Callithrix jacchus: one gene and its partner. The protein of the gene in region 1 purifies or fractionates together with the protein of each later gene. This does not show direct contact. Links are inferred from orthologs where the notes say so. Each region holds a gene or a part of one and is shown in the gene's direction. Other genes may lie near its edges.

Region 1 (7,183 bases):
TAAGCCTGAAAAGCCTCCAAGTTAAGCACCAGTAGATAGTGAACCAATCAAAGACTGCCAAATGTACTTGGATGACCATCAGAAAGCCTCTCTCCACTCCCCTTTCAAAAATTCCACCCTAATAGAAAAACCTCATCCTAATAGAATACTCATCAATCAAAGATTGTCTTAAGAGTCTCTCCTTATCTCTATAAAACAAACACTTCTTTCAAATCCCTTCTAGTCTCATGTGGAAGGAAAGTGATAGTAGCCAACTCCCTTAATGTAGTAACCCTGAATAAACAGTCTTTGATTAATTCTATAGGTGGTCTTCCTTCTTTTGGCAAAAAGTTCAGAGCTCTCAACAAAGTTTAAACGTTCACTCTCAAACGTTAGCAAGTCTTTGCTCTATCCCAGCAGACCCAGTAGGGGTAATGATGAACAACACGGAAACTCAAATCCAATCTTGTCAAGAGGAGGGTGTTAAGGAGAGTGGTTAGAGTCCAGCTTTGGGGAATTCAATCACAAGCCATGTCACTCTTGGCAAGTTACATGACCTCAGAGTCATGCAAATGCCATGTAGAACTCTGTGGCCCAGTTTTCTCTCTGGCAAAATAGGAATAACAGTAGGACCCCCTTTGCAGGGCTTCTGTGAAGATGAAATGACTGACAACAGAGGCAACAGAGTATATGTATCAGCAAAGAGCGTAGGTTTGCCACTGAATAAAAAAGAATCCACAAGTCTATACTGATACAAATGGATAAAATAATTCACTGATGAATGGTGTTAAAATGAACTAAATATGGCCTGAGAGGGACTCGGTACTTCTACATTTGAGTCCTGGTAGACCAACTATAGCCTAGCTTAATAGGTAGACAAGATTGAAAACCTAACGTAGAAGTATGCCTAAAACAATAGCTTAGTCTTGGCCAATCCCATTGGCCATACTTCAACTATTCATACATTGCTGAGTGTTCACACTGTGTAAGGCAAAGGTCAAGGTGTAACTAATCCAGCCGTTCTGTACTTCACTTCCGATTCCTGTACATTTCCCTTTATGTATGTATGTATGTATGTATGTATATACGTATGTATGTCTATAAATCATCTTCCACCACATGGCTGCACTGGAGGCTCTATGAATATGCTGTGATTCTGGGGGCTGCTTGATTTGCGAATCGTTCATTGCTCAATTAGACTCCTTTAAATTTAATTCAGCTGAAGATTTTATTTCATCAGTGGAGATGATGGAGAGACAATGAAGTTTTTCTTAGAGTGGAACACAAACTAATAAATGTAGGATCCAGTTAGACAACTGCCAACTTGCCACCATCATGGGAATAATTGATTTAATCAATCATCATCACCATCAAAAGATGCTAAATCTAGTGGGTAAACTTGTCTTAAAACAGACTAGAAATTCTGTTGAAATAAAAATCCTCAGCCCGCTGCTTCCCAAAGAGAGAAGCTAAGAAAGAAGCTAGTAGCAATAGCTGTCTACTTCTGTTAAATTGTACCGTTTTTCATGATCATATACTCAAGAACGAGTAAGGTTAAAAAAAACATATAAAATAGTGCTGAATTTAGGGGTGGGTGGAAGGGATGTGAATCTCATCTCTTATCAGAACTGCCGCCCCTGGCAAGTTACTTAACCTCTGTGTATATCAGTTTTCTCTTCTGCAAAATGGGGATAGTACACTTGTACGCACTTAAAAGGTTGCCACGAAAACTAAACAAATTTATATTTGTCCAGTGCTTCGTACATATTCAGTAACTTTGCTCTTGTTTTTATTACGTGTGCAATGCTTAGACTCGTGTAAACTCTGTGAAAGGGAAATAATCTTGGGATCCCCAAATCACTAAGCTAAAAGGAAAAGTTAAGGTGGGAACAGCTTAGGGCAAACCTGCCTCCCATTCTATTCAAAGTCATACATCTGCTCACAGACATAGATGCACAGCTGATTGCCTCCTTTGGAAAGGCTAACCAGAAACACGAAAGAATGCAACCCTTTGTCTCTTACCTACCTATTACCTGGAAGCCCTCTGCGGAGGGCGTCAGCTCCGTGAGCCACCCTTCCAGCTGCCACTGCCATGGCGAATATTCGCTTGTTTGGCCATCCCGGGATTGTTTGATACCCAAGACCGCAGGGCTTGGGCTCTGTCTTTGCTCGGGACTGTAAACCAGGAACTGCACAGTAGGCCCTGAGACCTTGGTACTGCTCCAAGTGAAGCAGAGCTGGGTGAGGGACCTAGGGCTCTGCGGCCTCAGGAACGCCCACGACCCGGGAACCCAGGGGGCCGGCCTGGCCCGCCTCTGCCTCCACCTCCTCCTCCTCCTCTTCCTGCCTTCGTCGGTTTCTCCCGGAGCCCTCCTCCTGCCGCTCCTCCTCCGCCTCCTTCCCCTGCCCTCACTCCCTCTGCGTCTGCCCCGTGCCGGGTTTCCTGTTTAAGATGGCGTCCCCCGCGGTAACGCAGGCCGGGAAGCTTCTGCGAGCCCTAGCGCTGCGGTCCCGCTTCCTGGCGGCCGCGTCCCAGGTGAGCGTGGCCTGGTGGCGGGAACTGCGGGCGCTAACAGCGGCGCCCACCTGCGCCGGGCTCCCCTCACCCCCTGCTGCTCCTGCTCCCCGCGTGGCCCCGTGCACGGCCCCTCGGGCGCCCCACTTCGGGACGCGACGCGGCGCTGCGCCCAGGAGCAGGAGCGACCCCCGCCCTAGTGTAGCGCAGGGGCGGCGCGGGGGCGGCCTCGGGTTGCCTCGGCATGTGAGCTACCCAATGCGCGGGAGTCGCCGCCGTCGGACCCCATGCTGACTACACTGAAGCAGGCGCTGGATGCAAGTTTAAGAAAAGTTTCTCGGACCAGGTTTTGGAGCCCTGAGGTTTTATTGTCATTCCTAATTCTGCTTTTCAAACGTCTCGCAGTAACCCTGAGCACATTTAGGCCACGAGATAAACATGTCTAGAAACCCATTTCATGCCCACTAGGAACTCACCCCCCAGGGTGGACTTCCTGCAGGCTACCTGCTTTTGCAGACTTTTAAGATCCCCGAGTTGGTCAAATGCACGGGTCAAGGAGAAAAATGGGAAACGATCTTTCTCATCTTTTCAGTGAAGAATCAAGCCTGTTACTAAAACGCAGTAGACCATTGACCCTGACCATGCCCTCCTTGTTGATGGAGAATGAAACCAGAGAGGTTCAGTGGTGGGTGCTGGTTAGCGATTGGAACTTGTACTCTGGGAGATTTGTACCTTCTGTAGAGGGCTACCGTTACAGTAGTCAGAAAGCCATCAGGGACTGCTTAGTCTCTAGATTCTCTCTCTCCCCTTTTAAAAGAAAGCACAGTCTGGGATTCAGCCACAGCAGAGTTAATGATCTTGCCTATTTCCCCATTTTTAATTGATGAGGCAAATTATCACTCATGCAATTTTAACCAGGATGTGCGTAGTATAGTTTTTAAGAAAATTTTTAAAAAATGCGATTAATGATTTTTTGAGTTATTCTAAGCTTTGGTTAATTATGGCATCTGTGAGCTGTGTTTCCCCTCTTTCATTTCCTGCCTTCCCATTTCTCTGTTATTGTTAATGTAAATTTAAAAGGTGGTGATACTACTGTAATATTCTTAATAGATGCTTGACAGTATAGTAAGGTGGAAAAGGAATGGCAGTTTTGTCTAATTAAAACTCAGTAATTACTGTTGTAATAGAGTAAGGAGAATACCTCCAGGTGATTAAGCCCTGTTCATTATTTAAGTGATAGAAAAAGCAAGAACCAGGGTGCTAACCATGTGTGTAGACTTAAATTGATGAGAAACATGGGGCCCAGGGCAGTGAAAACTTATGAATTGTACAGAGAAACCTAAAATGCAGAGTGTTTAGCTCAGTATGTGAAGCGTTCTTGCCTAACCAAGAAATGAGAGGCTGAACACAACACAAGACAAATCTGACTGGGGAGAGATACTCTTGGTCTGTCAAGAAAACTGGTAAAAAGATCTGTTAGTGCACACCATCTGACTACTATGATTTACATACTTGTGGATGATGTGTTATTCTGTAACATCTTAGAAGACAAAAATGGGTTTTATAAAAGATAGAAATGTATACAGTGTCCAAGAGCTGGTAATGGACGTTAGCAATCACCTAGTCCAGCTAGATAAATTGAGGCCTGAAGAAGTTCAATAACATATTCAAGGTTACAGTGAGAATTTGTGGCATTCCAGAGTAAAGGCTTACCCTTATGTTTCCATTACACCAGGTGGTTTCCTGGTGACTGTATGCTTCCTCATGAAAATATATTAACGTGCAAATTAATCTGAGTACCAATAGTAACTATATAACATCCAAGTCATTAGCACCACTGACACATTTTAATGTTTTTCTTTATGACCATCTTAGAATTGGCCACAAAAATAGATGAGTATTGCCATGACTTGTAAGAAAGTTTATTTTCAAATTCTTGGGTGCTTCCTATGATCTGTTTCACATAAACTGATTTGATATTATTGCCTCCATGGTCCCTTGCCTATGGCAGACATTACAGTTAAACATGGCCCACTTCTTTTAACATACTTAAGAAGCCTCACTAACTGTCTCAGAAATCTGTTGCCACTCTTGGCCCAGACCTACTTTATACCACAAGGCCTTATGAAAAACTGTTGTCTGTACAGAAATGAAAGACCCAGTTTCCGCTTAGAGAAATAACTTTCCCTGGTCTCCTAAAGATACCCATAGAATGACATTTTAACTCCCCCCTCCCTGTAGCTAAATTTAACATTTGACACATATTCCTGATGCTTCGTGTCACTGAAATTTTTTAAATTTTATTTTAACCTTTGCTCTTAACTTTACTGTTTTGACTTTTGACTGATTAAGGGTCCACTTTAGTCATTTCTTATTTTTCATTTAGTTTTTATTCAGCCCGTACTATTTGGTAGGACTGTTGTAGACTCGGGTTTGAGGGTGGTGAACGAGGCAGGCAGAGTCTTCGGCCTTGTGATACTTTATTATTATTATTTTTGGGACAGAGTGTCACTCTTGTTGTCCAAGCTGGAGTGCAATGGCATGATCTCGGCTTACTACAGCCTCCACCTCCTGGGTGCAAGTGATTCTCCTGCCTCAGCCTCTTGAATAGCTGGGGTTACAGGCGTGCGCCACCAAGAGAGTGAGCCGGTATACATATAACCAATAATGAAAATGATTTCAGCCAATGACAAATTCTGTGAAGAAAATCAGTCAGGGTCACGGGATGGAGAATGAATAGCTTCACAGAAGGGTAGCTGGATGTGAAGAAGAGACCTATTTAGACTGGGCGATCAGAAGAAACCTATTTGACATGCTCGTTTTTTTTTTTGTTTTTTTTTTTGGCAGAGTTTTTTACACAGAAATATAAGACATACTGAAAAATGTACTTTTATAAATGAAGAAATTGATGAATTTTTATAAACTGAATGCACATCCAGCTAACTAGGTACAGATCAAGAAATTAATCATTTAACAAAACCCAGAGGCCCCCTGCTGCTCCTGCCTGTCACTGTCTCCACCCTACAAAGGATAACCAGTCCCCTGACTTATAGCACTGTTTCGTTCATTTTTGTACTTTATGTAAGTGGAATTATACATATGCATATACATACTTGACATTGCTCAGCATTATATGTAAGTGATCCTGGAGATGGTGTTTTTGATATTTGAGCTGAGATCTGAGTGATGAAGGGTAGCCAGCCAGGTGAGACTAAGGGGAAGAGTGTATTAGGCAGAGCAGACAGCAAGTGCAAAGGCCACAAGATGAGAATGAGCTGGGCATGTCAATGTAATTAAAGAGGGGGAAGGTGGTAGTAGACAAGGTCTGAGAGGAAGACAAGGGCCAAATCACATGGAGACCTGCAGGGTCTGGTAAGGAGTTTTCAGGGTTTTAAACCTTACAGAGGCTGAATCCCAGTCCTGGCAGCTAAAGCCCAGGCATGTAATTAATATACTATGCATACCCACTATTATAAATCTAGGTTAGTCTTGCTTTGAAACTTTTAGCAGACTGATGTTCAGTGAATTTAGCAGTGAGAATCTAACTATGGTTAGAAGTCTTCCCAAAGTTCTAAATCCTGGTAGACAGGGGCCATATTGCTGTGTCCACATAGCCAAGTGAACAGACTAGCAAGCTAGTCCCATGGTGCGCACAGAGATGAGTGCTGCCAGTCAAGTCTTAGGGGAAATGTTGGCTGAGGGCACTGAGTTTAAAATGGTTCTTTGTAAGTCTAAGTACAGTATCGTTGTCTCTTAGGGTATTTCCCCTCTTCTATGGCTAGGTGAAGTTCATGTAGCTTGCTTATAGGAGAAGCACTCCCTCTCAGGCCTCCAATTTTATTTTACCTTTTTTTGAGAGACAGACTCACTTTCACTCAGGCTGCAGCGCAGTAGCATGATCTTGGCTCAGTACAACCTCCGCCTCCTGGGTATAAGTGATTCTCCTGCCTCAGCCTCCTGAGTAGCTGGGACTATAGATACATGCCACCATGCCTGGCTGATTTTTGTGTTTTAGTAGAGAAGGGGTTTCACTAAGTTGGCCAGGTTGGTCTCAAACCTCTGACCTCAAGTGAGCTGCCCACCTGGGCCTCCCAAAGTGTTGGGATTATAGACATGAGCCACTGTGCCTGGCCAGGCCTCCAATTTTAGAATCATTGTTGTGTGTTCTCTATGCAGCCCAGAACTTCTGTCCAGGAACTTACAGAGGAATGTATGTTGTCAAAGGAAACTGCTTAAACCCATGCCCCTGCTGTTGTAAACTCAGAAAGAATGGCTCCTGCTTAATTTTCTGCTTTTATGGAAGTGGAAGGAGAAAGATGGAGGCATGGCTTATAAGTGAAGGGCTAAAGGTTATGTGCAAGTTCTTATCAGCTAAATGAGGCTGTGGCGGCTGTATTGGAAGTTGTGACTTACCTATATCTGCCTCTTGCCTAGGAGAATAAGTATGACTTTCTTCTTTTTTAAAATGAAGTACAGCTACCATTTTTGCTTTTAGAAAAGAGAATCCATCTCAAATAATTTAGATGCTAAACTATTGACCTTTGTTGTGGGGAAGACTGTTAAGTGATAGCTTGTGTCCCAGATTGGTTTTGTTTACTGTAAATGAGCCATTTCTTTTACGGGTGACTGAGTGAGTGCAGAGAGCCAAAGCAGTGAGAACTTTCCTGCCCTTGTACACTGGCCTAGTTC
Region 2 (3,500 bases), on another chromosome or scaffold:
TCCACCCTCCCACCTCTCACACATACATAGACTTCTCTACCTTGAATAGGGATCCCAAATGCCCAAGGCTTTTTCTTATTTTGGTACTTTACACGCCACACAGTTGTGGCCCACTTTTATGTCAGTTCAGATAGATTGTGAGTTCTTTGAGGACTGAGATACTGTCATTCATCACTTTATCCTTAACACCTGCATTATGTGGCATTATGGTGGTGTAGGTGCTCCCTAAATGTTGACTAAATAAATGATGAACTCAATACCAGATGATAACCTTGTCTGGCATCATACAGGTTTCTTGTCAGGATGGAATGTGATCAAGAATTTCACTTCCTTGCTTTTGAATACATATTTTGGATTTGCCTTTAAGATGATAATAGTCTATTAGTTCCAGCTCATCTGGAAGTGGGTCCGTATGAGCTTAAGCCTGGTGCAGATGGGGAGATCACACATGAATGAGCCTCTAAGATGATAATAGTCTATTAGTTCCAGCTTATCTAGAAGTGGATCTGTATGAGCTTAGGCCTGGTACGTACATGGGTAGATCACACACATCTACATTTATGCATTAGAAGTTTTCCAAGATTTACTTAATTAGATGCTGTAGGCTCTCAGGGGCATTGCACTGACTGAGTAATACAAAAAGGCCAGGGGATTGGGAGTTGAGCTGCTGTGTATCACACTTCTGATATACTTTTTATGAGCACCAAAGATCTGATGTTATAACATCTTGAGCTCCATAGAATTGATCCAGGAGTTCTGGAGTTACTATAAGAAAGTAGAGATTTTCATTGGTCTGTTATTGTAGCTGTGCTTTAGGGACACCGACAGACCTGGATTTTCTCAGGGTGACGTCTCCTGTGGAGGGAGAAGAGAATTGTCTGATCTTTGTTAAGTTAATGAGTATAAGAGTTCTTTGAAGAAACCAAACTTTACCTACAAAAAGTATTTTGTTTTAACAAGTAGGGACTCCAGATATCCTGATCATAACATCTGATCTTATAATCAAATCTTCTACCTTCTTGTCTGAAAACTATGATATGATATGACCATTCGTTGACGTTTCTAGGAATGGGAGGGACTGGTAAAGCCGATTCTGCCACTAGTCAGGAATTGTAGCAGGGTAGGAAAGGGTGGAGCTTCTACACAAATATCATGGTTGTAGGTGTTCATCTGGGAGAAGTAGGAGCCAAGGGCAAGAATGGGTCTCACGTGACAGCACTGGTGAGGGTGAGCTGTGCTGCATAGCTCAGTAGGACTAGGGTCTCAGGCCACAAATCCCTGCTGTGTCCATTAGCCTAGAGTCAAATGCTTAGCTGTGACTGCTATGCCAGACCTTGACCTGCAAAGCTCTCTAATGGCCCCTTGTTGAGCACAGTCCAGTGTGAGAAAGCTGTCTGTTACCTAGCAGTTCTTCGTGTGCACGATATGCTACCCAGGTGGTAAGGGCTAAATCTGAACCTGTGTCCTTCCTGGAGGTATAAGGGATTCCAAATACTCTCCCAGAAGCAGATTTGTTGATCTTTCAGTTACGGAGTGTGAGGTCAGGACTTAGGTGGACATGAGGCAGTGATTTAAGGCAGAAGGCATGGAGTGGACTCTGGGCAAGTACATGACAGCATGTTCTTTTTGTTGTTCAATAAAGATTACTCCTTATGTTCTTTTCTTAGACTTGCTTCATGGGCGACCACAATGATAGGTAGAAGGCCTGGCTACTTTGAAGGGGCCGGGGATGGGTCACAGAAAAGGCATGTTGATAGTACTAATGGAGGTTTAGAAAGTAGCACACAATTTTGTCATCTATGTTCTTCCTACTGCTTTTTGAAATGTGGGGAGCTGGTTGTAGTAACTACTTAGATTTCTCAACCTAGGTCTTCTTTTTTTTTTCTCCACATGCTGCTTCTTCTCTTGTTTACTTTCCTATTTATTTTATCCCTGTTTCTTTTATATGTGAGTTAATATCAGAAGAGATTAAGTGATTTTGGATTGTATTTTAGATACGTTTTATTCTATGACTTAACATTTAATATGCTGTTTATACTAGAGAATGAATTGCTGAGCGATTTTTACTTGTATTCTTGACAAAGTTTGCCTCTTAGCTTACCTATTTAAAGGTATTAGGCTTTAAAAATTTGGGTCAAATGGGAAACCATGTGGCTGTTTAGTAAACATTATTAATGGGGGTGACAGTTTTCAGTCCCTGGATTTAATTTGAACCATTTATCTGTGAGCCCCAGATTTTTTTTCCTAGAAAATAAAAATGATAAACTTTTTCTTTTCTTTCTCAGCTTTTTCTTTCTCAGTTCAGAACAAACAACAAGATCGTGGTTCTTGATAAAGAGGGGATCCTGGCGAATGGAACAATGTCTTTTTTTGTTTGTTTTTCTAACTTTTTTCTGTGGTCTCTGTGTCATATTTAAAAGGTGGCATTTAGGTTTGCCATGATCACAAGATAGCTTGTGCATTACAGGATGTTTTCTTGTGATCAAGTTGAATTGTGGTTCAAAGTTTAGAAAAATTATAATGTGTCATTTTTTTTTTAACCTCTTAGTACCACAGAATGGAATTCGGCATTGTTCCTATACAGCTTCTCGGAAACATCTCTACGTTGATAAAAATACAAAGATTATTTGCCAGGGTTTCACTGGCAAACAGGTATGTGTATCTAGATTTTTATTTTCAAATGTAGACTAGACTAGAGATATAACAAATTAACTATTTTTTTATTTTTAATATCACAAAAAATATATCAGATTGTTGCAGAAAAATATACTGTACAGCAATGGGGTTGTATGTCAGGAGGCGGTTAGTTGCTATTGTCAGCCTATAGCATAAAAATTTTATTTAAACTTACTTTGCGAAGGAGTATATTGCATGCTTACTAGGACTATATTGTATTGGAGGCCAACATACTTTCTTTCAGCAAATACAACACTTGGTTTTCCTATGATGTTGAAACAGATAACTGTTTCTTTGAGCACTAGGTAAACTAGATTCTTGTGTTTAGGTTTTATACAGACAAACAAACAAAAAAAAACATATTGTTAAATACAGAATCCATATTCAGTGTGGAGAAATGTTCAAACCCACAGAGTCTCTTGGATAGTGAGACAAGCAGAAGAACCAGACCACTGAGTTTTCCCAACTTATACTCTCTCTGGGACCATGATTGGGACTACCAGGCAAAATTCCCTGAAGTGTTTTAATTTATTCTCATTTATTTATATTCATTGTCTCATCCTCTTTCCTGTTCACATCATAGATTTTGTATGAGTGAAAATATATCTGTGATGTGATTCTGTAATAAAATGCCACCTAAGAATCTCCTTTCCATTTTCCTACCTTTCTACTCCCCAGGAATTCCTTCTGTTAATCAATTGGCATGTATCCTTTCAGATATTTTTCTTGTGCATATAAACGTATTTATAGAATATGTGTTTTGTACTGTTTATTATACAGAACTATACTTATATAATGTTATCCAGCATATAATATATATAATG

Evidence for each region.
Region 2: the proteins of SUCLG2 (region 1) and SUCLG1 fractionate together in Homo sapiens (co-fractionation; 6 studies listed by BioGRID and IntAct, counting the BioPlex papers as one, with this or other methods). This does not show direct contact. The link is inferred for Callithrix jacchus from reciprocal best matches to the Homo sapiens genes SUCLG2 and SUCLG1.

Annotation. Positions count from the first base shown.
Region 1 is NC_133516.1:49,487,525-49,494,707, reverse strand, and holds the start of SUCLG2 (succinate--CoA ligase [GDP-forming] subunit beta, mitochondrial), read left to right. Parts: upstream 1-2,416; 5' UTR 2,417-2,431; coding exon 2,432-2,515; exon of another isoform or gene 2,516-2,856; intron 2,857-7,183. UniProt on the Homo sapiens protein: GTP-specific succinyl-CoA synthetase functions in the citric acid cycle (TCA), coupling the hydrolysis of succinyl-CoA to the synthesis of GTP and thus represents the only step of substrate-level phosphorylation in the TCA.
Region 2 is NC_133515.1:28,624,938-28,628,437, forward strand, and holds part of SUCLG1 (succinate--CoA ligase [ADP/GDP-forming] subunit alpha, mitochondrial), read left to right. Parts: exon of another isoform or gene 1-2,515; intron 2,516-2,548; coding exon 2,549-2,652; exon of another isoform or gene 2,653-3,500. UniProt on the Homo sapiens protein: Succinyl-CoA synthetase functions in the citric acid cycle (TCA), coupling the hydrolysis of succinyl-CoA to the synthesis of either ATP or GTP and thus represents the only step of substrate-level phosphorylation in the TCA.